7 linked regions of the Nothobranchius furzeri genome follow. The protein of the gene in region 1 purifies or fractionates together with the protein of each later gene. This does not show direct contact. Links are inferred from orthologs where the notes say so. Each region holds a gene or a part of one and is shown on either strand. Other genes may lie near its edges.

Region 1 (3,295 bases):
TCAACGTGAATATGTATTTCAACCTTACAAATAAACATAACCAAAGCCGGTCTCCATATTCGTCTCAAGTACGACTTTGTACAAATATAAACAAGCATATACCCTTTGACAAGCATGTCTCACACCCAAATATAAAATATGAGGCTTCACCAGGAAAGTAGCTGCCTGATGTCAGGAGGATCACAAAGTACATTTAAAAACTTAAGACGAATAAAAAAAAAAGCTTTTTCCAGAAACAGAAGTATGCAGATGTTGAGCTCTTTGGTCTGAAATAAAACCATCTTTCTGCAGTTTTTCACTCAAGGAGTAGAACTAAATTTGCATGCGCAAAAATAAAATCTGTCTCAGACTCGTTAACCTCTTCAATCTTCAGATTTTAAAATGTAATGATTCCTAAGCGACCAAGTCCAAAACAGCCGACGCCACGCCGGTGTTTCAGGGTGTTTAATGTTGCATTTCTGGTACGCAACAATGGCTGCAACAGCAAAGGGAACTAAAGTAGAAAAGTAACTAGTGGGTTTAAGCACAGTGAGTGTGAAAACAGAGCAAACCTGAAAGACAAAAGTCTTGCTGCAAACACACACTTCAACTTTATGATAAACAGGAAGTAGATGACTCAAAAATATATATGAAACCTATTTATATGTACACTCTAAAAAAGAATTAGTGCTTTGTAAAATGGAGTCTTATTACGCTTGATTCGTGGCACTGTGAGCTTTTTCAGAAGAACTGTCGATCTGCACACTTGACTCTTCCTCATTGGCTGAATTTCGAAACATGTCTTTGATGCGTGTTTCTCCGTCCGCCGCCGCCGCTTCACTGACGTCCTCTGGGTCGCTGTCATCCTCCACCCCACCAGGACTGCATTCTGACTCATCACTGTCGCTACCGCAGGAGCTCGACGTCTCCTCTTCGGAGTCCGAGTAGACTTCGGCGCCGTGGAAGAGGTAGCGGTTAGGTGACTGAAACAAGTACTGGCCCGCTGTGGAAAACAACAGAGCATCTATGAAACACGGCTCGTTTGTCTTTGACACGTCTGCTGAAATAGTTGTGGTGTGATCACGTGAAGGAATACATGCAGAGGAAAGACGGAACACATTTGAACAAATGACATGTAACTGGTATAAATTAGCTTAGCTTAGCTTACGGTTGAGGCGTTTGCTTATTGGACTCCTGCTGATTCTGCTCACCCAGTACCGTTTACGATAATCAAAGCTGGAGTTTTGGCTTTTAAAATCACCCATCTCCACTTTTGGTAACTCCGGAGACTTCGCACCGTCCTCACTTGGACACTGCACATTCGAACAAGGCTCCAAAGGTGTAATGTTCTTATCGGCAGTTTCTGTAACAGTCAGACTTTCTGCCTCCTCTGAAGGCTTGTTTACAGAGTCCGTACGCGACGGCTCGTTCTGCTGCTGAGCCGCATCACTGAAAGCAGGCAAGGCCTCACTTGGTCGTGGTTCTTGTAACCGAGGGGGCTTCTCTGTGATCTCGTTGAGTCTTAAAGTGTTAAAGCAGAGCTGCTCAAAGTCTCCACTCAACCGGTGACAGAGCTCATTGATGATACCGTCACAGTCTCCGAGTAGCTCCACGTCAAAGTTCAGATGAGGCAGCGGCTCCCTGTTGATCAGAACCTGAGGCACTTCGTGAGGAATGGAATCTGAGAGAAATGGAAAGCCATGGTGTTATTGGTGGAGTTTACCTCAAACACAACAGAGGAGTGGCAAGTATCTAGAAGCACGTTCACTTGAAATCATACTCGGTATGAGGGCCACTGGTCGGACTTTGAGCGAAGAGCCAATTACAATCAAGAGGTCCACCTCATCTTTGTCCTGCTTCATGGCTCTGTGGAACATTTCTGGTAGGTTCTCTCCAAAAAAGACGATGTCAGGTTTCATGATTGCCAGAGGAATATCCGGACACCTCAGACAACGAGGAACAACCTGCAGGACGACGTTGCATTAGAGAGGAACATGTCGCAGAAGCACGCTCTGTCATTTATTTAAACCGATACACTTCCTGAAGTAGATTCTAGTATGAACCCTGAATTAGTCCCAACACCAAACACCCTTTTTACATCAGTCTTTCGCACGGACTCGTTAGGCGGATGTTGTGAAAGTTAATTTATCCAAAGTTTCTTTGAACATCACATAAAACCAGTCTGAAGATTTCAAAATATTCTAACAACAAAGCTTGGAAAAGCCAAACCCGACAATGGAAACAACGCTAACCCCGGGTTTCCACGGGAGCCGTCAGCAGCACGTTACTGCAGCAGCACGTCTCGCTCGCGCAAGCTGCTGCTTGGCCCTTCCCACGAGACGCGAAGCAGCAGGGGAGCAGCTGTCACCGACAGAGCACGAAGTCACACGAGTGACTTCGTCAGTAAACACACCAACAAGCAGGAGAAAACTATAACATGGTTTATGTTCTGTCCTTTTATAATCGCCAATACGGACCTGAAAAACAAAGGAGACCGCTAGCTAGGTGATAACTTCTCACGGGGACGCACAGTTAGTAACATTTTTTAAAAGTAAAGCAACTGGAAGGCAGTACGTTCTTTATTCTGAGAATCTCGGGAGCTTCTCTCCATTTCCGCGTCCCATTTCCTGTCTTTCCTTCCCCAAAAATGTCGAACTTGACCCGTTTCAGAGGCGTCGCGCGTAGAAAATAGAACCGGCGCGTAAGGGCCGCGACATGCTGCTCCTGAGACGCGGCCGACTCGCGCTGCTGACGGCTCCGGTGGAAAAGGTTCTGTTGACCACAGCGGTTCCTATCAGCAGCTATGACGTGCTGCTGACGGCTCCCGTGGAAAGCCGGGGTTAGGAGAGTATACTGTGAAATTAGTTACATGTATACGTTATGACTTGACATTTATCAACCAACGTCCTCACCAACCCGAACCCCTCCAAAGACATTTTAGTTTCTCATTATGGTTACAGGTGTAAAAAAACAGCAGCAGCGATCAACGTTCTGTTGGTCCAGTTTAAAATGTACCTGATTAAAGACATCTTCCCTTATAGCTTCACAATCCACTTTTTGTTTACAAACAAGACAGGACGCAGTTGCGAAGGACCCTGAAATAAAACACACACACACACACACATGATTATTTAGCGCTATGGCAGCGGCGTAGATGTACAACAAAATGCAAACTAAAACTCACCGTGACACTGGATGATCCTCTGAACTCCAGCCACTTGCTCCAACGTGTCGATGTTTTGTGTGTAATTGCGTAGCAGCTTCTCTTGCTTGTCTAACATCGAAATGAACCTGTGGCAGGGTGAAGGTTGGAACT
Region 2 (4,007 bases), on another chromosome or scaffold:
AATGAGTAAAACATGACAGGCACAAGATTTGGACACATTTTAACTACAGAGACAATTCAAAAGCAGAGCGGGGAAAATGTAACAAGTAAATATATCCAACATGTTCTAATGGTTCAAAGTTCATAAATATTTTACATGCAGACTTTGATTTTGTTATTTAAAATGTGTTTTTGTAGCCCTCTGCTTCATGTTGACTAAAATTGTCATTTAAATAACAAACATTTGCTATAATGAAAATTGTAAATAAGTAATTCAGTTTACACCATTTTGTATAATCTCAGGTGATAAATTCATTTAAGGAACAAAAACTGTGAGGAGCCAGTTCTGATGAAAGAGCCAGAGTTCCCATCACTATTACCCTCATTTAAAACACTACCTTTATTCTGGTGTGAACTTCGTAGATTTCTGGAATGCTGCCAAAAATGGTTTTCATTTCCTCCTGAGCCAAGATGGGTCCTCCTACTTGGCCTTCTTTCTCCAGTGGATGCTTGAAAAGCTGGAAATAAAATGCACCGTGACTTCTGAAGTAATCCACTGATGAAACGGACATTTATCGTCACCATCAGCTTCATTTTTTTTTATAAAGACTTGAAACGTAAAACCCTAACCCAGTTTCAACAGATTTTTCTTCACTTCAGTAAAAGTATAGAGATAAAAATTCAAGAGAAGACACAAAAAACAAAGAAATTTGACAGGAAGGTCAAAAAATAACCAGCCTGGTTGCTTCGCCGCTGGACTGTCTGACTCCAGCTGACGGCTGAGTCAAGTTACAGCAAATACACACACTCACACACACACATGCACACTCACACTCACTCACACACACACATGCACACTCACACACACTCACAAACACACATGCACACTCACACACACATGCACTCACACACACACATGCACACTCACACATGTACACTCACTCACACACACACATGCACACTCACACACACTCACAAACACACATGCACACTCACACACACTCACAAACACACATGCACACTCACACACACTCACAAACACACATGCACACTCACAAACACACATGCACACTCACACACACATGCACTCACTCACACACACACGCACACACACATGCACACTCACACACACATGCACTCACACACACACATGCACACTCACACATGCACACTCACTCACACACACACGCACACACATACACACACTCACAAACACACATGCACTCATGCACACTCACAAACACACACGCATGCACACACACACACTCATGCACACTCACAAACACACACGCACGCACACACACATATACACACTCATGCACACTCACAAACACACACGCATACACACACACACACACACGCATGCACACACACACACACACCTTTAGTTGATCGCTGGCTAACTGAAAACTGTTGTCAGGGGCAACACGCTGAGGTGTTAGAGCAGTGCATGCAGTGAGCGCATGCACACCCACGCCTACCTGTAGAATGGTGTTTAAAATGTCTACATAGTTGCTTTCAGTCTGGTAGAGCTCCTTGGAGACCTGCCACCTGGCCGACTGCTTGGACAGAGCCGGAGTTGAGCTCTTGGATGGCTTGGAACTCTCTGAAGGAAGACAAAGTTTGTAGATGAAGTAAAGGAGAGCAGCGGGATGTCGGGTCAACCTATCACGTGTTTTATTCAAGATGCAACACAAACATTACTCTGTTAAAGATGATGCCGAGGAAGAAAAAAAAACGCACACCTTGTTTTAAATGCATTTACATGAAGCCGTCAGTGTTTCCACTGGATCACACTGAAGTTTCACAGATTTATACCAACCCATATCCACCTTTGAAACTGGCCAGCCAATGGAGATTTAGCTTTAATGTTCCAGTTTCAGCAATTCTTTATTACCCTCGCATCATCATTTGTCCTTGTTTTTACAAACATGACAAGTACTCTGGTTTCAAAGGAGGAAGCCCACTAAGATAAAACAAAAGTCAGATCTTGGCTATTCAATGTTCTCAAAACATACGACTAACGAGTTATAGACCCTTTTACTACCTACGTCATCAAAAGTTGCGCGCGCAGCCTGGCAACGAGAGTGAAGGCTTCCTCATTCACACTCGATACTAAAACAGTGTTTTAAACCCTTTGTTTTGAAGTTCTGAGCACATAAAAATGTCGGGTTGTTGCGTGTATGGATGCCAGAATCGCTTCTCTTCAAGCAGTGGACTGAAACTTTACAGAATTCCGAAGGGAGCACATCCATTTCAACAAAATCGGAGGCGTCTGTGGCTGCAGGCCATCAAAAGGGTTGATGAAAACTCGACTGAAAACACGATCCGAAATGCTCGAGTTTGTAGCGCCCATTTTATATCAGGTAAGGTAATTATGTACTAAGATTACACCAGAAAGCTGGTTAACGTGTGTTCTATTAATTAAAGTAAGTTCCGTTTGCTGGTTTGCAAATGAAATTAACATTTCATTCTAATTCATCTGTATTTTCCCACTGCATATTAGTATAAACTGTATTTCTCTAAAAATTAACACGATTGTACTCTGAGCACACTAAAAAAAGAAACCTATGCTATACTCACCCTGCCATGCAGGTACACAGTTCTCTGGTTTGTTTACTCTGACCCAAGCCTCGTATATAGCAGTCTTGTGTCCTTGTCTTTGGCTAGGAAGGACTTCTGCCTTCAAGACGCAAAACTCAGAGTCTATGTCGTGATATTTTACTTTCTGTATGTGGCCACAGACAACATATTTGTATGCATCTAACGATTTGTATGCCTGTAGCTTCTCACATGTGTACTTACTGGGCCTCTCCACTAGAAACGTATGTATATCGGGCCACGCACCTACGTCTTCCACCCATTCCGTAATGCCACAGGGATCCGGGAGTCTGTTGCCATTCGTTAAAGTGAGTTTAATAATATAACATTCAAGATTTGCCGGTGATAACCCCGCAGCGTAGCTTGATAAAGCCTGACACAACGCCATTCTCTGTTGCCGAGCTGCGCGCGCATTCTCGCTGACGTCATATTGTTTACAAACAGTAAAAGGGTCTACGATAGCTTCCACTGTTATTCTTAGTCTTTTATCATTCTTCAAATCCAACACCTGAGAAACATGTCTGCTGTGTTGCTTCTAGCATTACAAGTTCATCCTTCTAGAAGCGGACTCTCCCTTTAATTCCGCCTTTTTCTGGTCGGCTTTAATCTTATTGGTTCATCTTACTTTCAGGGTAACTGGCAACATTTTGAACGATACAACGGTATACATGTTTGTATGACGAGTGGCAAGAGTAGGGCAACCCAAAATCTAAGCTAAAGAGAATGAGGAATGCTGCACTCTGTTAGCAACAGAACACTGAACCTGGAATGCATGAAGGACTTTATAATTAAATCTACTAAGAGTAAGCCGGTTTTGTTTCCTGGGTAGGTTAGATTGTGAGCTAAACTTGGTTTAACGAGTTTATCCAACCTTGGGAAACCTTGTTGTTGCCATTTCCTGACATAGTAGGCTTGAAAATCCTACTTCTGAATTCAGAGGTAACAGCAATGTGTGATTTATAATGCTAAAGGGATCTCTACATGTAGGAAATGACATTACATTTGTGACAAGACACGCTAGTGTGGGTACTATTACTGAAAGGTGACATTAAACTTTAGTCATGTAGAGACGACTGTTTAGTGAAGCATCGACAGGTGTAGGAGTTAAAGAGCAAGTCACCCCCAAATCAACTATTTTTTTCTGATAAACTATATAAATGCGTGTCTAATCGTGCTGCAGACACGTGTAGTCAATAGTTTAGCACTTTAGTGCATTTTAGCTAAAATTAAAAATTTCTGCCTAAAACTGGCAGTGTTGTGCCGTTGTCAGGTAAAAACTCTTCACTGCATTTGAATTTAAATCTGCCACCGCTATTGGCTAAGGGGTATGCTATGATGTAAACTGGTACATTATGATGTCACAATGTCATGAGTGTGTGTATTTGTTAGTGGCTCCACCCTCTCGGTCTGCTAGGCAACAGCATTTGT
Region 3 (4,438 bases), on another chromosome or scaffold:
CCCGCCTTCCGCAGCCGCTCGCTTCCGAACTCAATTTTTACTGGTACCCGCTCTACAACGGCTCCGCTCCGGTGCGGAGACCTGAGGTGGGCAAACAAGCATGCGTGGGATTTTCGAGATCTTGCTATTCAGTCCGAGCAATAAACGCGGAAGTTAGATCCAAACACCCGTTGTGTGGGAGAAGCATCGGCATGAACTGTTTAATCTGCCCATCATTTGTGTTGAGAGATCAGCCGTGTTTGGATCAACAAAGTGTGACTACTTTGATAATAGAAACTGTATTTATGGCTTACTTTTGTGCATTTAAACTTCAGCCGCCACTGATAGTTGTTAAAAGTTGTTAAACCTGTGCATTTGAAACAAGAAACGCTTTTTGTTTATCGATTTATTGTGAAAAACGGAAAGTGTGCTTGCTCCTTTTCCTGTTGGACGATTGTGATTTCTGTCCATTTACTGCGGAGGTGCTCCGGCGTCCGGCGAAAATAGGATCGATTCTATTTTTGCCGGACGCCAGAACAGAGGGCGGCGCACGGCGCCGCACTGCAGGAGCACAGCCGCAGTAGTGGAATTGCTCTGATTGACTACAACGGGACCGATTTTGCTGCGGCGTTCGTGTCGGAGCGGAGGTAGTGGAATTTGGGGGTAACGGTGGCACCAGAAGCAACAAGAAGAGCCACCTGAATCCCCACAGAGAAGCTCACCTGAAACTTGTGATCTTGTGCTGCGGCAGATCATCGTAGCTTTCAAACCCATCCTCGTTTGCGTCAAACAGGGACAAACGCTCATCCGTCAACATTTCAGGCTCTTCCAGCTGAAGATACAGAAAAAACCGGTCAAGACGACGACTTCTCAGTGCTTAAATTACTAAGAAAGCAAGACTGACCGCATTATCAGGATCTCCTTGGAAGAATTTCAGATCGGAGTCATCCAGGTATTGTCTGCAGTCTGGACATTTGGGGGGCGGAGTCTAAAAAAAAACAACCGGGCTTTGTATCAAAGCCTATTGACGGATCACCTTTGTCTGCGTAAACGTTTGAATGAACCACTTCACTACCTTAGCTGCTGACGCAGACCTGTTAACTTCAGGCTTTGGTTCCTCAGCAGCAGGTCTGCGTAAAAAAGGAAGAGTTGTAAAACGTAGATCCACTTCAGGACCATCGAAACTCAAGAGATGACCTACTTTTCATCCGACTCCACTTTCAGGCGTTTCTCCTCCCGAGACTGCAACAGGCGATCAAATGTAAAACGTTATCTCCGGGACTAAACCTACACCGATATTAGCACACGAGGAGGAAATGTCACCTCATCAACGGCCTCTTCTTTTTTAGGTTCACTTGTTTCATTGACAGGTTCTCCGTTCACCTCATCAGACTTGCGCTTTTGGCTGCAAAACAGAGCTGGTCTTAATTTTATTCCTGCTTATTTGTTAAAACTGCAAACAGCATAAAACTCATACGTACACTTTAGAAAACATGGACAAGATGGTTGGCTGCTTCACACTGTTCCTCGTGACTCTGCTGCTGGCTGGTGATTCTACAAATGCAAAAGGACTCGCCATGAGCTACAGATGCTGCGCCTTTAAAAACGAGACTCGGGATGAACACTAAACGAGTCGCAGACTGACTTTTTGTGTCTGCGCTCCCCTTGCTCCTGCGGCCCCCCTTCCCTTTGGAGGTGGTTGGTGACTTGACAGATGATGACGTGTCTTCTTCCTGGGTATCCATGGAAACATCACCATCTCCATCCTCTTCGTCTTTATGGGAGCCATTAGAGAGGCCATTTCTCTTTTCGTTACGCTCCACGCCATCAACATGTGAGCCATTCTCAAGATGAAGTTCTTTGCCCAGCAAGGCTTTCACCTTTGAGATGTAAACCTCCTGAGGAAAGTACAACAGATACACAACATGTCATAAATGGATTTATTGGAAATAACATGAACATTAATAATCTGTGTCTTTTGGAAGTTACCCACCTTTGAGATCTCTGATTTTTTTATTTTTTCTTCAAGACTGGTCAGTTGGTCCTGAGCATCATCATGCAGAAAGTCCTGCACCAACTTGATCTTCTTCTTCACTTGTTCCTGAAACGAATATTTCCAACATAAAACTTACAGCCAATGTATTTAACTATAAAATTATAAGTTACAATTTTTTGAAACTATCTGCATTCATGACATTAAAAATTAACCATTTAGGACATGTCGGTGAATTAAAATGTGAGACAGTAACTTTCTTAATCTTCTTTGTCAATGGCAAAATTTCCTAGGGATTCGTTTTTGTCATATTTGAAATGAGAATTTTATGCGTGCCAAATGACATTTTGGGGAGTGATGAACATTTTTGGAAGCTCTGCTATTTATATTTGCTATCAAACACATTTCATATCTCACAACTAAAATAAAACCAACGAGAGATGCATTCTTTAAGAGCCACTATATAAAGTGTAGTTATTGATCTTTACACATACAAAGCAACTTTCATTTCCCGTAATTATTGATCGGGTTTTCTAGTAGTGAGGGTGCACACTTCACTCGCCTCTTCTGAGCATCCATCCTCATCCAGCAGCTCCAACCTACAAACACATCAAAACAACAGCGGCTTACGGAGAGTCACGTTGTCTGGAAACTGTAGCAGAACGTTCAGCACAGCAACCAGAGTTAGGAAACAAAACTTCCTACGTGGCGCCAAAAACTCCCTCGCTGCTCATCCATTTCCAGGCTAATGATGCTAGTAGCAGGTTACTGACGATGGACTATTAACCAGACTGATAAGAGGCAGCAAGCTAACGCTAGCTGAAGCGGCTAATGCAAACAAAGTTGTGGGGATGCTCACTACGAGCATGAGAAACAACGAGTAGCATTTAAGACATACGCTCTGAACGCCGTTGTTGTGACTTACTAACTGGCTGCATTATGACTGTATTAGCACCGAGGTTACCAACCTTTTCCTGACATCGTCTGGCAGAGACAGGGACGTTCTGGATGGCATGTTGACCAGCTAACTAAAAGCAGAAGCAGATGACACGGGCAATAAAAACTGATATAAAACAACGCGTTAGGCCGCCGTCAATCGCCGCAGCAATACTCAGAGATGACTACCAGTCGAGTGGCGCTTCTTCAAGCGGATGCTACAAGCAGTTCGAGCGCGCGCAGGCCGTCTTTTCGCGCGGAAACCCGGGTGTTGTGGACTGTACCACTACGGCAGTCTATAGGTAAAGCAGTTTCCGTTCTGCGTTTGTAATTTCTTCTTTGCATTCATGGTTTTACACAAAAACACATTTTATAACAATAAAACGATTTTTAAGCATGTTTAGGGCATTAGTTTGATATTATTCAAAATGTTTACGTTTTTTGGTTCTTGATAAATCAACCGGATCTTCCCCTATTGTTTCACACATGTTAGAGTCCATTGACCAGGCGGAAGTGTTTAATAATGAGCAAAAACAGCAAGACATATTATTGCCGCTGAGTTTAAGCTGCAGGAGGCATGACACCGTTTTGATGTAACTAGCTGTATCCGACATCTGTTTGAAACCAATAAGCCTCTAACTGTAATTTATATATTAGATTGTTACTAGGATAGCTGTCAAACATGTATGTGTCCAGGGCGTGTCATGTGATATCATAGGATGTCAAAGAAGATGGCTCCTTTCTCGCCTCTGATTAGCAAGAAGGGCTCTACTACGATTGGCTATTTCCATCGACATATAAATATTGGACATTGGGTTTCCATATGCTCCAATAACACGTTTTTGAAGATAAATGGGAGGTGGCCACCACCACCATTTTGACTGTGTCACAGGTTCCGTCAAGCCCAGACAATTCCACAAAAGGGAAGAGAGGTGGCGCTGAGGGTGGGGCTGTAAGGCTGGGATCTACTGACGACACCCGGTCTAACTAGCTACAAGTTAACCCAAAGCTAACGCGGAGGTGGGAGCTAAGCTAACAGAGGTAGCAACCTAGCTACAACCGGAGTTAACTGTGCACAACACCAGAGCTTCTGAGTCAGAGATACGCCGGGCTGACCGCTGGGTAAAACCGGGTGGAACACAGAGGTCTCCCGAGAGCTCCACAAGCCGGCAGCCGCACAGCAGACAAGCGCTGCTGCGATCTGAGATGCACAGAGCTGCCACTGGGGAGAACCGGGTGGAAAGGTTTCCATCCCAGAGCTCCACAAGCCGGCAGCCCGCATAGCAGTCAGGAGCCGCGATCAGACAGAGATGCGCCGAGCTGCGGGGAGGGGAGAACCGGGTGGAAAACAGGTCTCCCGAGAGCTCCACAAGCCGATAGTCGGAACCCAGCTCCACCAACATGTTATATTTCAACCCATTTTCTAAAGTCCAGCATTATGTTAAATGCACTGGGGTTTACCCTATTACATTTAAATTTCATGGTTAAACAGTACATGTTAAAATCTAAGCTCAGCTCGGCAGTGACCTA
Region 4 (4,804 bases), on another chromosome or scaffold:
GTAGGACAAGAATTTATGTTATAATTCTATTCACAAACCATCTCTATGGATATTTATGGCTTTGGTGCATCAACAGTGACAAAATGTTGTCCTTTATCAACGTAAAAAATGTTTGTTTAACCTACTTGAAGTACTTTTGATTTATTTGTGCAAGAGAATTCAGAACTTTAGCATTCTTTTTGTTGCAAACCTTAAAATAAGTAACATTTTAAACCCTGAAGCGCTCTTTACAGATGTCAAACTAGGTTTTAAACCAATAACAGCTTAAACTAGGGGTAGACCGATATACAAGGCAAATATTTGGCGTTCTTTATAAATCGGCAGAAGCATTGCGGTTTTGAGAAGTCAAGTGGTCAAACATGATGCGCCGCTGAGCACTTCTCGGAAAGTCGTGCGATAGTCACATCAGGCCGAACTTGAGAACAGGAAGCAGAAAATGACTTTCGTTTTTACGAGATCAGACTTGCCGTCGTGTTTTGAGAGACACTAGTTATTAAAAATGGGTAAGTACGCTATTTATTAGAATATTTTAATATAGTATTTCAAATTAATCACTGCTTTAAAAATGATTTCCAACTCAAAATTATTTTTATTTACCAGTTTTGAATATCAAATAATTGACACGTCACTTAACGGATTTGTTTGATTACCTTTTATTTAAATGTCTGATATTAACACTGAGCTGTGTTCAAAATTAGGATTTAACAGTTGGTTAAAAAACTGATTCAGAAATTTTGTGCATCAACTGATGTTATCTGACGTTTTAGCATGAAAATAAGGTGAAAATATTTAGATATCGGACATAAAAATATCGGCTGCACAAATCGGACATCAGCTGACCTTTTACATATCGGCAATCAAACCAATATCGGTCGACCTCTAGTTTAAACTACAGGTTTAATTACACTGTAGTTTATCAGAGCCCTTCCATGCATTTCTATGCAGCTATAACAGTGATGGGAATAACGCCGTTTAAAATAACGGCGTTCTTTTTTTGGGTAACGGAATAATCTAATTAATTACTTTTCCCACTGTTGCAACACCGTTACCGTTACTGGGGATGGAAGGTTGTGCGTTACTATGTGCTTGTCGAACGTTGAGCAACAGTGTGAGGCTTTCTGACCGCCACACTTCAGCTGCAGCCAGGGAGAGAGAGGTGTCAGTAACGCACTTACAAACCCGATGATGATTGGCCGGGTGGGCGGAGACCCTCACTGTCTCAGTCACTGCATGCTGTAGACTCAACAGAGCAGTGATGGGAATAACGCCGGTTAAAATAACCGCGTTACTAAAAAAAATATTTCTTTCAGTAACGAGCAACCTAATTAATTACCATCTTCTTTTATCAAAATGTCGTTTCTGTTACGTATAAGAAATGTGTGCGTTAAGCAGCGCAGTGTGTTGAAGCTGTCATCAGCTGATCAGGAGCTAAAGAGGCAGATGTTTTCATCCAAGTGCATCACGGCCCGTGAAGAACGAGGAAGACGTGATGAATAGTCTACGGCTGCAGGTGTGGGTCTGCAGCCGTGCCCTTTAACGTGACAGCGGGACGTCCTGAAGGTCCGCTCACCTGTTCACCACTCAGACGTCCTGATCTTCTACCTTCCTAGATCATCCAGCTGTAGCCTGTTTCTGATCATGTCTTTAGTCCCGCTGTAACACTGATGCATCAGTCTCAAACGTCATGGAGCTCAGGTGTTATTAGAACCACCCAGCTTCAGCTCTTCTGTGTTTGGGTCTGACCCACGTTAGTAAATGTAAGTCCTCCATCAGATTTGTGCCTCTTCTACTGTCATTTTAAAGGATTTTTATTTATTTATTTAACCATTACTAGATTACCAGCAACAGAAATGCTACTAATAACACACAATTATGTGAAGTTGGAAAAGTTAAAATACTGTAATTTACATTCATTTCTGTCATTTAACTAGACTGAGAGACCATTTAAAGGCTCGGGAACCTTTACAGGTGTTTCTATTTGCAATTTTAAATTTTAGCTGATTGGGGTCTTGTTAAATATCACACAGTGACGTTTTAATAGTTTAGATAAGTGTAATGCTCCTGTTCCTCCTGTTAAGTGCTTATTTATTTAAATTATTCAGGTTTACAAAAAACATTTTGACATACGTTTTATTATGTTCCAGTCACTAGTCATTTATATTTCACTATTGTAGTAATTAATAGTAAATAAGTTCAATTAACCCATTTTCTTGCATTCTTTAATGAAAAAAGTAAATAAGTAGTTATTTTTCTTGGTAATTAGTTACTTTTATAATCTCGTAACTCAGTTAGTAAGTGAGTTACTTTTTTGACAAAGTAATTAGTAACTATTACTAATTACTTTTTAAAAGTAACTTTCCCCAACACTGGATATAACAGTGTTTAGTGTGTTGAACTTGGTATTTTAATTTTAAATCTTAATTATTTCATTTGTATTATTAGTGTCTTCATTTTGTCTTACGATTTGAAGTTGGTTTTTATTCCTGCGCGAGAAATGAACGTTCATATTCTAAATCAATAAAGATTAACATGAATGTTTGTTGACATTTAATAAAGATATTTGATTACGCTTCTGCAGACAGGATTCAACAGTTAAGCCTCAAAAATAAAGAGTGGCTTCAAAAGCGTTCTACATTAGCACACCTTCTCAATCTTAGTAACACTTTAGTTTTTTTGTCTACCTGGAAGACGAGGTGTCTGCTAACAGCCAGCTGAGCTTCGATAGTTAGCATTAGCTTAGCACCAGGGAAACAAACGGACAACACTTACGCCATTCGTCCTCGTGTTCTTGGTTTTTACGAAGAACCGGTAGGCGACAGCCTTCGACAATTTCGACCTGTTGTTGATGAAACGTTATTTTACAACCAAATAATGGTCAATGTCTAAAAAGTAGCATAGTTTCTCTGGAGAACCTACCGAAGACGAGCTGTCCACCATTTTCGTCATCTGTGAGTGCAGCAGCAGGGTGTTGTGGGAAAATGCCGGTCCACGCCAAAGATGAAAACATACGTCAAGATAGTTGTTTGTGCCCTGTCACCGGAAGTTAGTGAGCTATCTTAAATGAGGCAAACAACGCAAACAGAATGGCTTCACTACTTGAGTTATTAATAGTAATAACACATTATGTTTTAAACAGGAAGAGAATTTATGTATTTGAATTTCACAAAGAATGTATACACCACTCAAATAATTACAATAAAAACTATATACAACTAAACCAGTAACAAAATAGAAATGCTGTTCTATTTGACTTTTTTATCTATGTGAACTTTAAAAAAAATTTATTTAGTCGTTTGATTTAATTGATGAAAACCAACTCAGTCTATAAGGCATTTATATGTTTTATTTAGGTCAGTTTCACGGAACACGAGAACTCGATCCTGTCTAGAGTAAAGATTTTTCCGCCCTCTGGCGGACCCAAGCCATTACAACAACATTTGGATTGCGTGATCAAATTAGTTAATTTGTAAATTAAAGTGACATGGTAAGTCAACTTCCTGTGTGTGTGTGTGTGTGTGTGTGTGTGTGTGTGTGTGTGTGTGTGTGTGTGTGTGTGTGTGTGTGTGTGTGTGTGTGTGTGTGTGTGTGAAGTTAAAAAGGTTTGTACTGCATTATGAAGCAAGTGTATTTTTGCACCAATCTGCCACACGAGAGCAGCAGTCTTCCATTGTTGGGAGCAAAAATGCTGCAGTTAATCACATTATTATAGAGGTGAGATTATTAGTTTTTCCTGTAATTGCTGAGAGCTTTGCCGACTCATAATGTGTTTTGTTTTCTTTTAGGAAAGAGGGAATTTTACAAAGTAACATGCTTATGGAGCAAAATGGATTTTACTATATCACAAGTTTACATCCATATTGTTTCCTGCTGTAAAAAAAAGTATGACAAACCATTCAAACTAAACTTAAATTTTGATCAGATTTTAATCAGTTTCTAAACATGTGCAATAGAAAATCTTCCTAATTTAATAGTACATCACTGAAATGTTGGAGAACACAACCCCCATGTTTACCCTCCTTAATGAGCTGTTAAGAAGCATCTGATTAAATTCATGTGTCCAGTAAAATGTTAAAATTAACAATAAAATTGCACCTGAAGTTGTCATCTCGTTAGATCTCTGGTAGATTTAGACGCTGGTGCCTCATTAATGTCAAATTTAAAATAATTAGACACAGCACTGCTGAAGGCAGCTTGTCTTTCTATTTTAAAAGAAGATTTATTCATAAATTATAATTTATTCTGCTCCTCCACTCCAGGGTACAGCTTTGGATGCGTAAATAATGATGTCACAAACACAATGAGGGTTTTTATATTTAAAAAAAATTATTGTTCCAGAGATGATATTTTTCTTGGCTGAATGTTTTTCTTTAAAAATCCAATCAACACTTTGTGCACAATTTAAAAAGTGCCTAAATTAGATAAATATGAAAGTTCAAGGAAGCAGCTCTCAATCACAGTTTTTTACTTTAGCAGCTTAACAAACACTTCCATTAAGACTTCAACTGAAAAACAAACATTAGAGGATGTGATGGCAGTGTCTGTCACCTCAGGTGCATGGACTTCTGGTAATGTTTATTTGTTTTCTTTGTTCTGTCTAGGATGACAATCAGTCTTCTGATGTTTATGAATGCATGTGTTGATTTTGTATTTTATTTGAGTTACCAGTGACTTGGAGTTGCCCATGGAGTCTCGTACACCTGCAGCTCATCTCCCCAGGAAGTCTAATCAACACTCCTGGGATCTACTCCCAAGGGAGGGGAGATTCATGTTTATGCTTATGTTTTATTTAATGTAGATATTTTCT
Region 5 (4,799 bases), on another chromosome or scaffold:
AACTATAAGAAATAAAATGGTTTATTTGTTACACTCAGTTGTTCTGTTTTTATTCATGTCTGAAGATGTTTGCTGATGAAATCCCTCTTTGATCTTCTCATAGTATCTCACAGATTTTTATCTGTAAAGTGTTATTCTCTTCTGTGATGTTTATTTGAAACGATAAGAAATGACAAACGGCTCAGAAAACAATGCATGGACAAGTTCAAAAATGTTGTGTGTTGGGAGACAGCTGTTGATTCACAGCGGCTATACTCTGAGCCCTTCCAAGATATCGGAGCTTCTCGGCTTACAGCAGCCTGAGCAGGGAGTGGCTGGGCGTAGCCAGCTTCAGCTTGTTTTCTTAACCAGCTAACACCCCCCAATTGGGGGGCCTCTACAGTTTAATTTCCCAAACATCTACAACTGTCCACATTGTCCAAACACAACTAAAACCACAAACGGCTCAGATGGGAAACAAGGCCATTTTAAATAGTAATAAATTAAGATACAATGATATTTGAACTTTATTTTAGAAGAGCATCTGACCTTCTCTGGTGCCTGCTGGAAAAAAACCCTTAAACAAATTTAGTTGAGGACCCCTGGAATAAATAAAACAATTGACTAAATTTCCTAAATGGAATTTGAACTCTCAACCTCCATCCTGTCAGCACTTTCACGCAGGGCAGCTCTTCTAAAATAAAGTTCAAGTATTATTTTATCGTAATGTATCAAAAACCAAAAATAGCTTTTTTTCACAATCTAAACCGTTTTGATTGTAGCTGTAGCTGTGCTCGGGGAATGGAAACAATCACTGACACTTGGGACACGAAACTCCAAAGGCCCCCAATTGGGAGGCACCAGGGCCCAAAAAAAAAAGGCCTAGGGCCTAAGCGACAGAGCCTTGAAATGGCTCATTGTGGAAGATGTTGAAAATGTCAAGAATAAAACTGCTGACATTGCTTAATGTGAGAGAGATTTTGAGCAAAGATTTCATAAATATGTTTTTTATAACACATAAAACTTAAAAAATAAATCCATGATATGTCTCCATTAAAGGTAATTAAAACCAGAAGATGCACATTAAAGGTTGAAACACATTACTGCAAAAGAACTGATTCAAGAGTGGGCTGATGCCAGAAACAGCCAAGAAAGTACCTTAAATTTCTGTTGCAAAGTTGCATCTCTTTAAAATTCAACAAAAACGTATATATTTTTAGTTTTGTTTTATAGTTTATTACACGCTTATGTCAAATAATTTATGTTTTATTATGTGATTAGTTTGAAAACTATTTCTGTCCCTTTAATTTTTACCTGGAAGAGCGTTTCTCTTTTGAGATTTTCATACAGCGAAAATTTTAAATTTTATAGTGATTTTTACATATCTATATATTTTATTATCATTCTTGAATTTACTAAACACAAAGTATATCTTGAAAAAAATTCAGGTACAGATATACATAGTAATATACACAGTTGAATTGAAAACATTTAACTTCTACGCAAGTGATATACAGATTGGGGGATGCGGTGATGAAAACTGGCAACACACGGACGCGCGAAAATCAACATTTAGCATTTCCGGGTTGATTCAAAGCGTCATAAAGGTTTTAAAAACATGATGTTCTTCGCCTTTCTAAGTGTAAAATACATTTTTTAGAGGTATTAAACGCTAACTAAGCGCATTACGATGTAAAACACACAGTCAGACTGCGCTTATTTCCAAAAAGAAACCTGTTTTTAGCCGTTAGCTTGACAAAAAGAAGTGGAGTCCGGATCCTTAAACCGACTGAATGGATCAACATGGATCGCTACAATGAGGTGAAACTTCTGCTGAAAAACTGGGAGCAAAGTTTTGTCAAACTGCACCAGAGGAAGCCCAACAAGGTGATTTCTAGATGTCCCGTTTGCTTATTGCTGGATTATTTACCTTTTCAGAAAAGCTAAATGAAGGTTTCTCGTTTGCAGGAGGACATTGATCAAGCTCCAGAACAGACAAAAAGTCAGTCCTAACTATAATCAGCACTGATCAGCTGTTACATGTCTTACCGCACTAATAATACGCGTGTTTTTGTAGAGCTATATAAGGAGTACCGCAGTTTAAAACAAGCCAAAGAGAACAGCAGCAGCAGGGATGCATCCAGCAGTCAGACTCCAGAGAGCAACACAACACCCAAGGTTCTGATCACAACTTCTTTGTTTACTGTAATTTATTTATTCTATTTCTTAACACTCTATTCTTCACAAATCACCTTCTGTTATTTACTAATTCTAAATAATTAGCATATTTTCTGTTTTAGGAGTCTGATTGTTGGGGTGCCCATCTGAACCGCAAAGCAATGCCGGTGTCTGCTCCCAGGCTGACTTCCCAGGACAAAGATAGTCTTATGGCGTCCCCTCAGTATTATGGACTAAAGCTTAAAAACAACCTTGCTGCACTCAGTAAGGTAAGGATCACTTAAAAAAACTGATCTGAGCTCAATTATTGCTATAAAACAGAAGAAATCTGTCATCTCAACCTTTAAACAAACAGGATTATCCATCATGTGTTTCCAGTGCACTTATTTATTTATTTTTTGACTAAAGGAGAGACCTTTGTCATTGAAGAAAGTACACCGGACCGGTCGAGTTCCTCTAAATTCTTTGAAAGATGACCAGAGCTTACAGGAGAACAGTCCCAGGTCCTCCACTGATGCAGGAAAACCTGAAACAGCTGATCGAGACCTCAGCCTCTTCTCTCCAAGGTAATTAAAGACACAAGCTGTCATGTTACGCACATAATATCAACCTAGTTGACTGATAAATGTGTCCTTTTGATTAAAATGCTGTAATATAACTTAAACGTGTTTTGTTGTGATGTATAATCTAGATTAGGGTGTCCAAACCCTTCAAGAGAAGGGCAGAAATTGTCAAGTATTTTTAATATATATATTTTTAACTCTAAAGTTATTTTTATAATGAATTTTGTATTTACACAGCTCAACAACAGGCCTAGAAATCATCTGGCTACATCGTCAGCCTGCTAGGGGCCACACAAAAACACTATGAGGGCCTCAAGTGGCCCTCATACCACACTTTGGATCTAAATCCTCTGGTTTTGTTTCATATTTATGGATCAAACGAGAACCAAGAACGGAAAATTTTTAAGTATTTTTCAGAAACTTGGTTATTTAATGAGTTTTGTGTGTTTTTGTTCCAGAGGAATGAAGCCATGTCTGGATTCAACGTCTCGTGAAGCTCCGGATTCAGCAGAGCCTGAGGAGCAGTTAGAACCATTTAAAGCTAAACCTGCTGATGATACAAACCACAGCTCCTCTCCAGCCAGATCTTCTCTCCTCTTATCATCTTTGTCTCCTCAGCGGCGCGCCGAAGCCACTGGAACGTTAAATGAAAGTGCAAAAGACGGAGAAGCTCCACCGGACTCGGTTGGTGTCGAATGTAGCCGACCTTTGGTTGGTGGTTTGGTGAGACGGCCTTCCCTTCCTAACAGGCTGAGCTTCGTTGACAGGAAGTGGCTGGAAAGGTGTCAGGTGTTCGGAGAGATGGAAGCTGAGGAGAAACCTGGAGGAGGCAACCAGGATACTAAAGCGGAGACAAATGAAAGAAAAGTACCAGAATCAGAAGGTGAAAGCGTGACAAAAGAGGAAAAATACGTGGAGGGTGAAAGAAAGGGATCAGTAGATTTCAGAAAGGAGAAAAATCTTAAGAATGTGAATGGAAGATGGGAAGGAGAAGAAAAAAGAGAGAAAGAAAGTGAAGAGGTGTTCGTTACACCAGGAAATGACGGTGAGAATAGTCCTAAAAGTACAAAGAAAAGGGGAAGAAAGAGGCAGAGAGAGGGTGGCGACACTGGAGAAAACACACCTGAAGATGGAGGAGTGAAAAAGAGACGTAAGAAAGAAGAAGAAAACTCTAAATCAGGTGATGGAGGAGGAGAGAAAAGAAGGCGAACCAAGAAAAAACATGAAGATGGAGCGGAGGAGACGGAGATAAAACCAAAGGTGAGGGAAAAAATCAGCATTTTTGTACGTTAATAAATAATTTTCATTAAATAAAATCTGTGATATCTGATCAGGTTCCTCAGGAGAACTTGTTTGGAGAGTTAGAGGACGAGTTCAGGACTTCCGGGTCGTGTCAAGCACAGCCGGTGAAGGCCAGGTAGGAACACGGGCGGCCCCAAATAAACACACCTACTTTGGCTTTGTTCTATTATCTTATTGTTGCGGTTTCCACAGAATAAGGAAAGGCGCAGAAGGTAATTTTGTGAAGATCAATCTGAAGAAGAAATCTCACGTGAAAGGATACGCTCTCCGAGGGATGGCTTTACGCAAACAGGTGCGGTTCCACCAGACTCGCCCAAACGTTCAAGAGCGTTACCTTTGACTGGTGTGCTCTTCTCACAGTTGTACGTGCAGAAATTCCAGTTGAAGGGCGAGCGTTTCGGTGGAGGCGGGGGCCGTTTTGGTGGAGGACGGAGGGGCTCCTTCAGAGGGGGGCTCAGTCGGCAGGGCGACACCTGCTACAGGTGTGGAGGAACCGGGCACTGGGCCGTCGAGTGCCGGGGACGAGGTGACGCCGCATCAGCAGCACTCCCACAGACTTACCGGTTTTATTTACAGCAAACGGTCTTGGTGCAACACCGACATTACTAGAAAACCAGCTGATTTATGAGATAATTGTTCATGTTGGATGGATAACAGCGTGTGCACAAGATCAGTAACAAGACCTATGTTGTTTGATCTCAGTCCTCTTGTTTTGTTTTTAGCTCCACAACTTCCTGTTTTGGAGGATAAATCCGAAGAAGAAGAAGAAGAATCATT
Region 6 (4,007 bases), on another chromosome or scaffold:
TACTTAAAACTGTACCATGTTCAGCGCTTTGGGCTTCCTGACAGGGTTGCGGAAGGCGCTTTATAAATAAAGCTTTGATTGATTGATTGATTGATTGATTGATATATATGTATATATATATCTATATGTATATATATTTGTATATATATATATCTATATGTATATATATTTGTATATATATATCTATATATATATATATATATATATATATATATATATATATATATATATATATATATATATATATATATATATATATATATATATATAACAACAGGAGCTGAGGATATGACAGTTAGCTATGAGAAATGGTTGCAGCGGAGTGAAGACTGACGAGTAACAGGTGAAAAAATTAGCAAAGCTAAAATCCATCCTGAACTTTTTTGAATGAGTCAAATTCCAGTAAAGTTGGTTTTCAAAATTTGCAGAGATTTTCTAAAAGAACATTACATTTTCTACCTCACTAAGGATGTTCTTAAAGGAAGAAGCCTCTGTAAACAATTGTCTCACATCATGGAAATACTATATGTGCTTTCAGCTCCCTGTTGGGGGGGGGTGTTTAATGTCATATCAGACTGAATTCCAATGCTGGATTCACACATGAGCCATTGAAGTAAATCTTCCCCACACATTTTGTACCAGTTATTACTCTGAGTAAAGCTAGAAAAGCAGAAATAAATTTGATCCGAAAGGAACAACGGAAAGGACTAAAGGAGGTGGAGAGACCAGGGAAACGACGCCCCGCACAACAACAGCTCCGTATTAAATGTAAGACCTTCCTAAAATATGTGATGAAAACAAATAAGTCCTCCATCTGATGCAAAGCTGTTTCACACCAGCAAACAAATAAACACGCTGCTCTTATTTCCTCTGCCATCAGGCACTCTTGATGTTTACTCCATGGAAGAGGAAGCGCATTCTGCAGCTCTTTGATAACACTTCAGAACGAACCCGTGCCAACTCGCTCAGACAAATGTGGGTGTGCTCCGTTTTCTGTCAGGGACAGTTGACAATGGCTCATTTTCAGACCACTCCAGTTAATATTTAACTGATGCTGTTCCCATTTACACAAAGACGCCACCTACATTGAGTAGTTAGAGAGGCGCTTCTCACGGGCAGCCGGTGATTTGCCCTATCTGGCATGGTGTTTTCTGATTTGCTGAAGTGGTTTGGAGACATTCTTGGCATTTGCTGTACTGCTGACACTATGGCACATCAGCGGCAAGGCTCTCAAGCTGCAGCTGTGGTAGGTGGTGACAGATGTGTGCAATGACCTAACAAGAAAACTCCCACAGCAACATTTTCTTTTCAGTCTCCTAAGTGAAGTACAAGAGTGAGCTATGGTGTTTTGGGCATGTGCAAGCCTCAGCACTAAGCTGACTTGATGTAAAGTAAAAATACAGCCATAAGCTACAGATTTATTATACATGACCTATTCATAACAAGAGAAAACACAAATAATTCTATAAGTTTTTATTTCCTGAACATACTCTGTATTATATTCACATCTCAATAAGCATGAACTCTAAATCTCTGGTTCACATCGCTGAGCGAATCCACATCAAGGTCATATTTCTACCCACCTCTCCCGAGGCATCTGGTGGCTGGGATTGTGGTGACAGCGGATGCTGAGGCTAAAGAGCTTGCGGGTGGTATGCTGGATCTTGAGCCGCTGGATCTCGAGGGAGCTCTGGAGGAGTCTGTAACGGGCCTGCAGGTCCCAGTCACTGCCCCACAGAAGATGCACACTGCTGATGGGCAGGAAATGAGTGGAAGGGAGCCTCTTCAGGAAAGACTTGAACTCATCTATAGATGAATGAGAGCAGAGAGGGAGAGAATGGAGGAAAAGAAACACAACTGGTCCGTTACACTCTAAACATGCAAATAAGATGCAGTGGAACTGTTGTGATTCAAAAGAAACATGACATAAAACTGCAAACATTTAGTTATTTTTTTCTTTAAAAAACTAATTTAATGTGTTCCTTGGTGTTGTTGGTTTGGTTATTTTGAGGTTGGATCTGCGTAAAATAAAGACACACAGTAAGCATCCTCTCCTTTGGACTTTAAAGATTGCAACCTCAGCCTCTTTGTCTTCAGCCAAAGTGAAATTTTTCTTTCTTTTGCATTTTGTGAATACTACTTTCATTTTCTAAGAAAATAAGCATTTTTCATCTTTAAATAATAATAATAATAATAGTTGTTTTTGTTGTTGTTATTATAAACATATCTTTCCTCCAAGACGGAAGCCCAACTGGTCTGTTTTTTGTCTGTTGGTCCCTGACTACTACACGCTTTTATGTGTGTGTGTGTCTGTGTGTGTGTCTACAGTTCCAATAATTTTGAATATAACTTTTACAGTGTAACTGAGTAATTTTGTAACTGTACCTTTTTCTGCCTCTTGGACAGGAAGTTATTTTATTTTTCTGGTTAAATAACGAATACTTAAAATAAAATAAAAAATTAAAATAATGATTATGATTATGATTACGATAATTAATTAATTAATTAAAAATATAATTATGATTATGCTAATTCGAAAATAAAGTCCTGACAAGCTACATACATATTAAAATGAAACAAAATGTCCTTCAATCCCTTTTAATTATTGCCAGATTTGAGGTTTAAAGGAACTCCATCATGTTAGACAGTTTAAACCTTTCAGAGGGAAAATAGTAGCCTGGCCTGCCAGAGACTTGTCCTCTATTTAATTCTGCACAGAGAATGAGTCTGGTAATTCACAGGAAAAGAGGCACTTGAGGGGCGGGACTAGGCAGCTCAAAAATAACCAATCAGAAAAAAAGACGGAAATGCCGACAGTACCGCGCGACACTGTAGTTTTTTTAGCTGTAGTAAAAAAAAGGCGTCTGGCAATGGTGCAAACATCTTTTATTCTTTTAGAAGAAATGCTTTTAAAGCTTCTACTTGTTGTGGTTTTAAAGACATTCAAGTCATTTAGAGCAGAGGAAAGAGCCGCAGCGAACTCCGCCGCTGTCTTCGTTGTTTATGAGAAACTGAGCATCGCTGTGTGTGACGGCCGCGACGCTGTTGTTTTTTAGCTGTAGTCAAAAAATGGCATCTGGTGACAGCGCAAACATCTTTCTTTAGAAGAAAGACTTTTAGCGCTTCTACTTGTTGTTTTAAATATGTGTCCAAGTCATTTAGAACAGAGGAAAGAGCCGCTGCGAACTCCGCTTCAGTCGCCATGTTTATGACAAACTCGGCGTTATGGTGTGTGACATATGCTGCTCAGCGCTGATTAGCTCGGTTAGAATTCTCAGGGGGTGGGGTTATGTGAATAGGAGAGTTCCCAGACCCTTTATCTGTGTAGAATTAAACAGAGGAAGAGTCTGGCAGACCAGGCTACGAGGATAGGCCCATTTATGATTAAAATATTACCATTAGCACAATGGAAACGTCGTTTGTTCTGACTTATACATTATTCTTTTAAGACAAATATTGTTCTGTGTGTGTTTGATGAGGAAATCCAAATATAACATGGTTGAAAGCTTCAAAGCGTGCATGATATAGTCCTTTTTGTCACGTTCTGATGGTGGAGATGATGGACCAAGTGTGGTGGAGCTGACCAGGAGGCAGGAATGCAGGCACGGATAAAGTAAAAATGGGTTTAATGACAGGAACAACGAGAACAACACGACAAACAACAATGATCTGACACAGACTGGCACAAGAAGGGAGGTATAAATACACAGGGAAATCAGGAACACATGGGCAGGTTAACGAGGGGCAGGTGAGAACAATAAGGGCTAATCAGGCAGGAGAGGAACACAGTCAGGAAGGCAGGGGCAGATCGTGACACTTTTAAATGATTGAAGCCTTTAAAAAGGCAGCTTGGCGTTCTGTCTAATTTAAAACATTTTACTGTAATCACACAAGCAAACGTATGAACATGCTTTTGCCTAGATAAAATGCCATAGTGAGATGCAGAACATAAATATTCTCACTGACAAAGACAGGATTCAAGATATGCACACCGGTACTCTTCTGGC
Region 7 (4,007 bases), on another chromosome or scaffold:
TTAAAGATGCATCTCACTGTTCTCACACAGCTGCTTGTGAGGTTATTAACCAGCAGCTGGGTCAGAAGGTCATGACCCCTCCACCAGAGGAACCAGAGGAAGACATCCTCACTCCTAGAGCTCCTAGCATCGCCTTTCCCCTCACTAAACCAGCAGGAGCTCCGGAGCATCAGGACGAGACAAGAGAAGAAAAGCAGCCTCCCAGATTCCAGCTGTCCTCCCTCAGTCCTCAGGAGCGCATCGATTACAGCCAGCTGATAGAGGAGCTGGGTGAGTCCCTCAGAGCTCCAACCTGGTCACAGAAACCAAAAGCAGGAGATGGAATATGATTTTTATTTTAGCTTGGTCTAGTTCGTGTCTCCTGACCAGGTCCAGTGTGTCTTAGTCTCTCTGTTCTTTGTCCTACTTTAGGTGGTGTTGTCCTGGACAAGCAGTCCTTCGACCCCAGCTGCTCCCACATCATCGTAGGGACTCCGCTGCGCAACGAGAAGTATCTTGCAGCGATGGCTGCCGGTAAATGGATCCTGCATCGTTCCTACCTGGAAGTCTGTCGCTCCCTGGGACACTTTGTCCAGGTGAGAGTCCGCCTCAGTCCTTCACCAGTAAAACTTATGCTAAGCACAGCACTCACTCTCCTTTGGTCTCCTGCTGTGGGGCAGGAGGAGGAGTATGAATGGGGCAGCAGCTCCATCCTGGAGGCTTTACCCTCCATCACCTCTCAGCAAAGGAGGCTGGCCTCGTCGGCCATGCGCTGGAGAAAAGCTCTGCAGGGAAGCTCTGAACAGAAGGTACATCCAGACCGGTTCGCTGTGTCCTCGCGGTGCTAGACACGGTGTCTCACCTGGAGAAAAATGTGTTTTCCAGGGAGCTTTCAGCGGCTGGAGCGTGATGCTGAACATCGACCAGAGTAGAGAGTCCGGATTCAGGAGGTTACTGCAGTCAGGCGGGGCCAAGGTCGGTCATGGCGTTTACATCCCAGACACAGAAGATGCTGCTTATTGGAGGCAGCACTGATTTAATAACACTCTTATTCTTTCAGCAGTATTAAAAATGTTTAAGTAATAAGCCACAAAACAACTAATTACATTTTTACAGTAAAGAAAATCATTAATATGAACATCCTGAACTGGGAACCTCTGTTTCTTTATGTTTCCGGACCTCTGGGCTCAGTTTTTTGACGTGGAGTTTCTCTGCAGGTGCTGCCAAGTCCCTCCTCATCTCTATACAAAGAGGCCACTCACCTGTTTGCAGACTTCAGTCGTCTGAAACCTGCAGATTTCAGGGTGGACGTAGCAGAGGCGACGGCTCAAGGGGTGACATGCTTGAAACCAGAGTACATCGCAGATTACCTGATGCAGGTCCGCTCCGCTCCCCAGTTCGGGTCACGTGTAGTTACTGTTACAAGTTTTTGCAAAGAAACTTCTAATTCTTGCTGTGGTTTTAGTACACGTACAAATTATACATCAACATGTAGGTGTTTGTCTCATCGCTGCAGGATCTATGGTTTTCTCTCACATCCCTTCAGAGAGCACACACCCTTATTTCCACGGACTTTGTTCATATTGTAACTCAAAATTTCTTTCTAAACAAAAGGTGAAGGGTTGATTCAATGCATCACGTCTCCTACAGAAAACAAAAAATAGACGTGACCATCAGCGCCTTGGAAGTTCAGGAATTATTCCAATTCAACGTTACGTTTTCCTGCGGAGATCGCTTGAGGCTGACTTGGCCAGATATGTAAGCATTGCGTAATGTAATTAGCTGCCATTTAAATAGATGGGTGCTGTCTACTTTTTAATAATAATAATAATAATACACACGCTTTCATACACTCACATTCACACACTGCTAGTGTAGCCACAGCCGCCCTGGGGAGGTCTGACAGAGGCGAGGCTGCCATTTGGCGCCGTCGGCCCCTCTGACCACCACCAACACAGGCAAGTTGGGTGAAGTGTCTTGCCCAAGGACACAACAGCAGAATACCCCTGGCGGGAGCTGGAATCAGACCCATGACCTATGATCATGAGGCAACCCGCTGTACCACCTGAGCTACTGCTGCCCTAACTTTACGCATTAAGCATCCAGAAAAGCCGCCAAGCTACGCAGTTCAGACCGGACAGGAAGTCGAACATGAAAGCCTTGCAAAACATTAGGACAAGTAAAAATGAAGCAAAGTCACATGCAGCTTTCCAGTTTCCTGTGAAACCTCCGTAGCTGAGGTAAACGGAGCCAACAGAAAATAAACAACAGATCTTCGATACGCGATGCAGTCTCCGTGCAAAGTAAGGCTGCACAATATACTGCAAATATATCGTTATCGCGATATCAGCATGCGCAATATGCATATTGCAAAGAACAGATGAGTATTGCAATGAATGGTCAGCTCACATATTTGCTACACATAATAAATTATGTCAATCAAACGAAAGCATGATGTTTTTTTAACAAATCAAATGGAGCTCTTCACCCATTGGGCCAATTGGGTGGGTTCTCATAGGTTAGATGCCCGCCCCCGAGGCGGACGGCACTTAATTTTGATGGTTAGCAAACTCCTGAGTTAGCTTTGTTCTGCTCTTCCTGCTGATTCTGCTTTTCCCGGGATCCACTGATCGCCTTTTCTTGTTATTTTCTTTTCCTCACATCTTTTGCTTTTCTCATTTTTATGAATTTTTTGTCTTTTTTTTTATTTCTTTGTTTTTGATTATTTTTGTTCCTGAGTTAAGTTTTTATTTATCGCAAGTAATATCGCCATCGCAATATTAATCACTGTTATCGCATATGGCAGGTTTTCCTAATATCGTGCAGCCCTAGTGCAAAGGCAGCTCAGTGGCCTAGTGGTACGAGAGTCTGCCCTGACCCTGTCTTTGGTACGAGTCTGCATACCAAAGACTTATACCTTCCCATATGACACTCGGCATCAAGGGTTGGATTGGGGGATAGTTCCCGAGCATGGCCGTGTCTGCAGCTCACCGCTCCCCACATAGATGGGTCAATGCAGAGACAACTAATGGGGCTTTAACTTTTAACTTTACCACAAAATCGTGTGTTGCGTTGCAATTCTCTGTTGGATTCGTGACCTCGTGGGACCAGCTGAGCTGAACGCTTTTGCTACTGTTTCAGGTCTTAAACGCTCCCCTCCATGGGGATGGAGCTCACTCTAATTTCCCTCTGGGATTAATAAAGTATCTTTGAATTGAATTGAAATGCGTCTGTTACGTTACGCACCGCTTACGTATCCAGTGGAAAGCGGGGGTTACTTTTTTGTTCCTGTCTGCCTCTTGTTAAATTGTCCACTTGGGAGCAAACGCCACAGGAGTGTGGTTTCCATGGTTACCCTAATGAATCAGTGGCAGCAACATTAATATTTTTACTTGGGGTTAGGTCAGAATTTCTCCAGAAATATTCTAGTTTCTTAATTAATAAACAGTAAATCAACCAAATGTGAGCAAATGTGCTGACTGCTCAGCAACTATAGAAAACATTTTGAGATTAGCATCAGTAGTTGAGATTATCTGAGCACAAATTATGTCTAAAGTGTATTTATTTAATTCAGAACAAGGGAAGGTCAGAATAACCACATTTTGAAGCTTACTTCCCAGGCAAAAGCTTAGTTATTGTTACAATTCATGGGATTTAAATTTCTTAATCACTTTTACATAAATGTAAAGAAACTTGTTTTATTTGTTTTTATTGTTTCCCCTTTAAGGAGCCGACTCCACCTCTTGAGCTGTACCTCCTGAGTGCACCTCCCTCTGAAGAAGCATCATCTACTCCGTCATGTAAACGCAAAGCATCATCCGACACCTCCAGGCTGAAAAAGAGCCGTGTGAACTGAAACACGTCGACTGTAAAAAGAAATTGTTATTGTCTTGTATAAAATAAAAAACATTCAGCATCTGTTTTTGTCATTTTAGATTAAAGTACTGCATCTGCTGCTGACAGAGACCAGTGGTGATGTGGGGCTGGAAAATGATGAGTCATGGTTTGTAACAGGCTGCAGGGTGGTT

What was found.
Region 2: the proteins of sirt1 (region 1) and ect2 purify together in Homo sapiens (affinity purification with mass spectrometry; 3 studies listed by BioGRID). This does not show direct contact. The link is inferred for Nothobranchius furzeri from reciprocal best matches to the Homo sapiens genes SIRT1 and ECT2.
Region 3: the proteins of sirt1 (region 1) and dnmt1 purify together in Homo sapiens (affinity purification with western blotting; 3 studies listed by BioGRID and IntAct, with this or other methods). This does not show direct contact. The link is inferred for Nothobranchius furzeri from reciprocal best matches to the Homo sapiens genes SIRT1 and DNMT1.
Region 4: the proteins of sirt1 (region 1) and histone acetyltransferase KAT5 purify together in Homo sapiens (affinity purification with western blotting; 3 studies listed by BioGRID). This does not show direct contact. The link is inferred for Nothobranchius furzeri from reciprocal best matches to the Homo sapiens genes SIRT1 and KAT5.
Region 5: the proteins of sirt1 (region 1) and recql4 purify together in Homo sapiens (affinity purification with mass spectrometry; 3 studies listed by BioGRID). This does not show direct contact. The link is inferred for Nothobranchius furzeri from reciprocal best matches to the Homo sapiens genes SIRT1 and RECQL4.
Region 6: the proteins of sirt1 (region 1) and brinp1 purify together in Homo sapiens (affinity purification with western blotting; 6 studies listed by BioGRID and IntAct, with this or other methods). This does not show direct contact. The link is inferred for Nothobranchius furzeri from reciprocal best matches to the Homo sapiens genes SIRT1 and BRINP1.
Region 7: the proteins of sirt1 (region 1) and topbp1 purify together in Homo sapiens (affinity purification with western blotting; 3 studies listed by BioGRID, with this or other methods). This does not show direct contact. The link is inferred for Nothobranchius furzeri from reciprocal best matches to the Homo sapiens genes SIRT1 and TOPBP1.

What each region holds. Positions count from the first base shown.
Region 1 is NC_091752.1:5,646,192-5,649,486, forward strand, and holds the end of sirt1 (NAD-dependent protein deacetylase sirtuin-1), read right to left. Parts: coding exon 3,164-3,295; intron 3,075-3,163; coding exon 2,995-3,074; intron 1,944-2,994; coding exon 1,760-1,943; intron 1,661-1,759; coding exon 1,148-1,660; intron 983-1,147; coding exon 690-982; 3' UTR 681-689; downstream 1-680. UniProt on the Homo sapiens protein: NAD-dependent protein deacetylase that links transcriptional regulation directly to intracellular energetics and participates in the coordination of several separated cellular functions such as cell cycle, response to DNA damage, metabolism, apoptosis and autophagy.
Region 2 is NC_091756.1:57,533,247-57,537,253, forward strand, and holds part of ect2 (protein ECT2), read right to left. Parts: intron 1,585-4,007; coding exon 1,460-1,584; intron 497-1,459; coding exon 377-496; intron 1-376. UniProt on the Homo sapiens protein: Guanine nucleotide exchange factor (GEF) that catalyzes the exchange of GDP for GTP. Promotes guanine nucleotide exchange on the Rho family members of small GTPases, like RHOA, RHOC, RAC1 and CDC42.
Region 3 is NC_091745.1:3,328,424-3,332,861, forward strand, and holds the start of dnmt1 (DNA (cytosine-5)-methyltransferase 1), read right to left. Parts: upstream 3,166-4,438; 5' UTR 2,988-3,165; coding exon 2,941-2,987; intron 2,572-2,940; coding exon 2,535-2,571; intron 2,081-2,534; coding exon 1,973-2,080; intron 1,878-1,972; coding exon 1,625-1,877; intron 1,534-1,624; coding exon 1,461-1,533; intron 1,385-1,460; coding exon 1,303-1,384; intron 1,222-1,302; coding exon 1,181-1,221; intron 1,110-1,180; coding exon 1,055-1,109; intron 968-1,054; coding exon 884-967; intron 812-883; coding exon 702-811; intron 1-701. UniProt on the Homo sapiens protein: Methylates CpG residues. Preferentially methylates hemimethylated DNA. Associates with DNA replication sites in S phase maintaining the methylation pattern in the newly synthesized strand, that is essential for epigenetic inheritance.
Region 4 is NC_091750.1:47,314,562-47,319,365, forward strand, and holds the start of histone acetyltransferase KAT5, read right to left. Parts: upstream 3,016-4,804; 5' UTR 2,947-3,015; coding exon 2,917-2,946; intron 2,837-2,916; coding exon 2,770-2,836; intron 1-2,769. UniProt on the Homo sapiens protein: Catalytic subunit of the NuA4 histone acetyltransferase complex, a multiprotein complex involved in transcriptional activation of select genes principally by acetylation of nucleosomal histones H2A and H4.
Region 5 is NC_091759.1:4,678,987-4,683,785, forward strand, and holds the start of recql4 (ATP-dependent DNA helicase Q4), read left to right. Parts: upstream 1-1,577; 5' UTR 1,578-1,782; coding exon 1,783-1,866; intron 1,867-1,947; coding exon 1,948-1,981; intron 1,982-2,056; coding exon 2,057-2,157; intron 2,158-2,279; coding exon 2,280-2,426; intron 2,427-2,565; coding exon 2,566-2,723; intron 2,724-3,178; coding exon 3,179-3,980; intron 3,981-4,054; coding exon 4,055-4,137; intron 4,138-4,214; coding exon 4,215-4,314; intron 4,315-4,382; coding exon 4,383-4,548; intron 4,549-4,744; coding exon 4,745-4,799. UniProt on the Homo sapiens protein: An ATP-dependent DNA helicase which unwinds dsDNA with a 3'-overhang in a 3'-5' direction. Does not unwind more than 18 bp of dsDNA. May modulate chromosome segregation. The N-terminal domain (residues 1-54) binds DNA Y-shaped DNA better than ss- or dsDNA.
Region 6 is NC_091746.1:56,499,002-56,503,008, forward strand, and holds part of brinp1 (BMP/retinoic acid-inducible neural-specific protein 1), read right to left. Parts: intron 1,807-4,007; coding exon 1,584-1,806; intron 1-1,583. UniProt on the Homo sapiens protein: Plays a role in neurogenesis and brain development. May suppress cell cycle progression in postmitotic neurons by inhibiting G1/S transition.
Region 7 is NC_091747.1:45,084,321-45,088,327, forward strand, and holds the end of topbp1 (DNA topoisomerase 2-binding protein 1), read left to right. Parts: intron 1-30; coding exon 31-270; intron 271-411; coding exon 412-575; intron 576-659; coding exon 660-788; intron 789-864; coding exon 865-954; intron 955-1,196; coding exon 1,197-1,358; intron 1,359-3,706; coding exon 3,707-3,835; 3' UTR 3,836-3,897; downstream 3,898-4,007. UniProt on the Homo sapiens protein: Scaffold protein that acts as a key protein-protein adapter in DNA replication and DNA repair. Composed of multiple BRCT domains, which specifically recognize and bind phosphorylated proteins, bringing proteins together into functional combinations.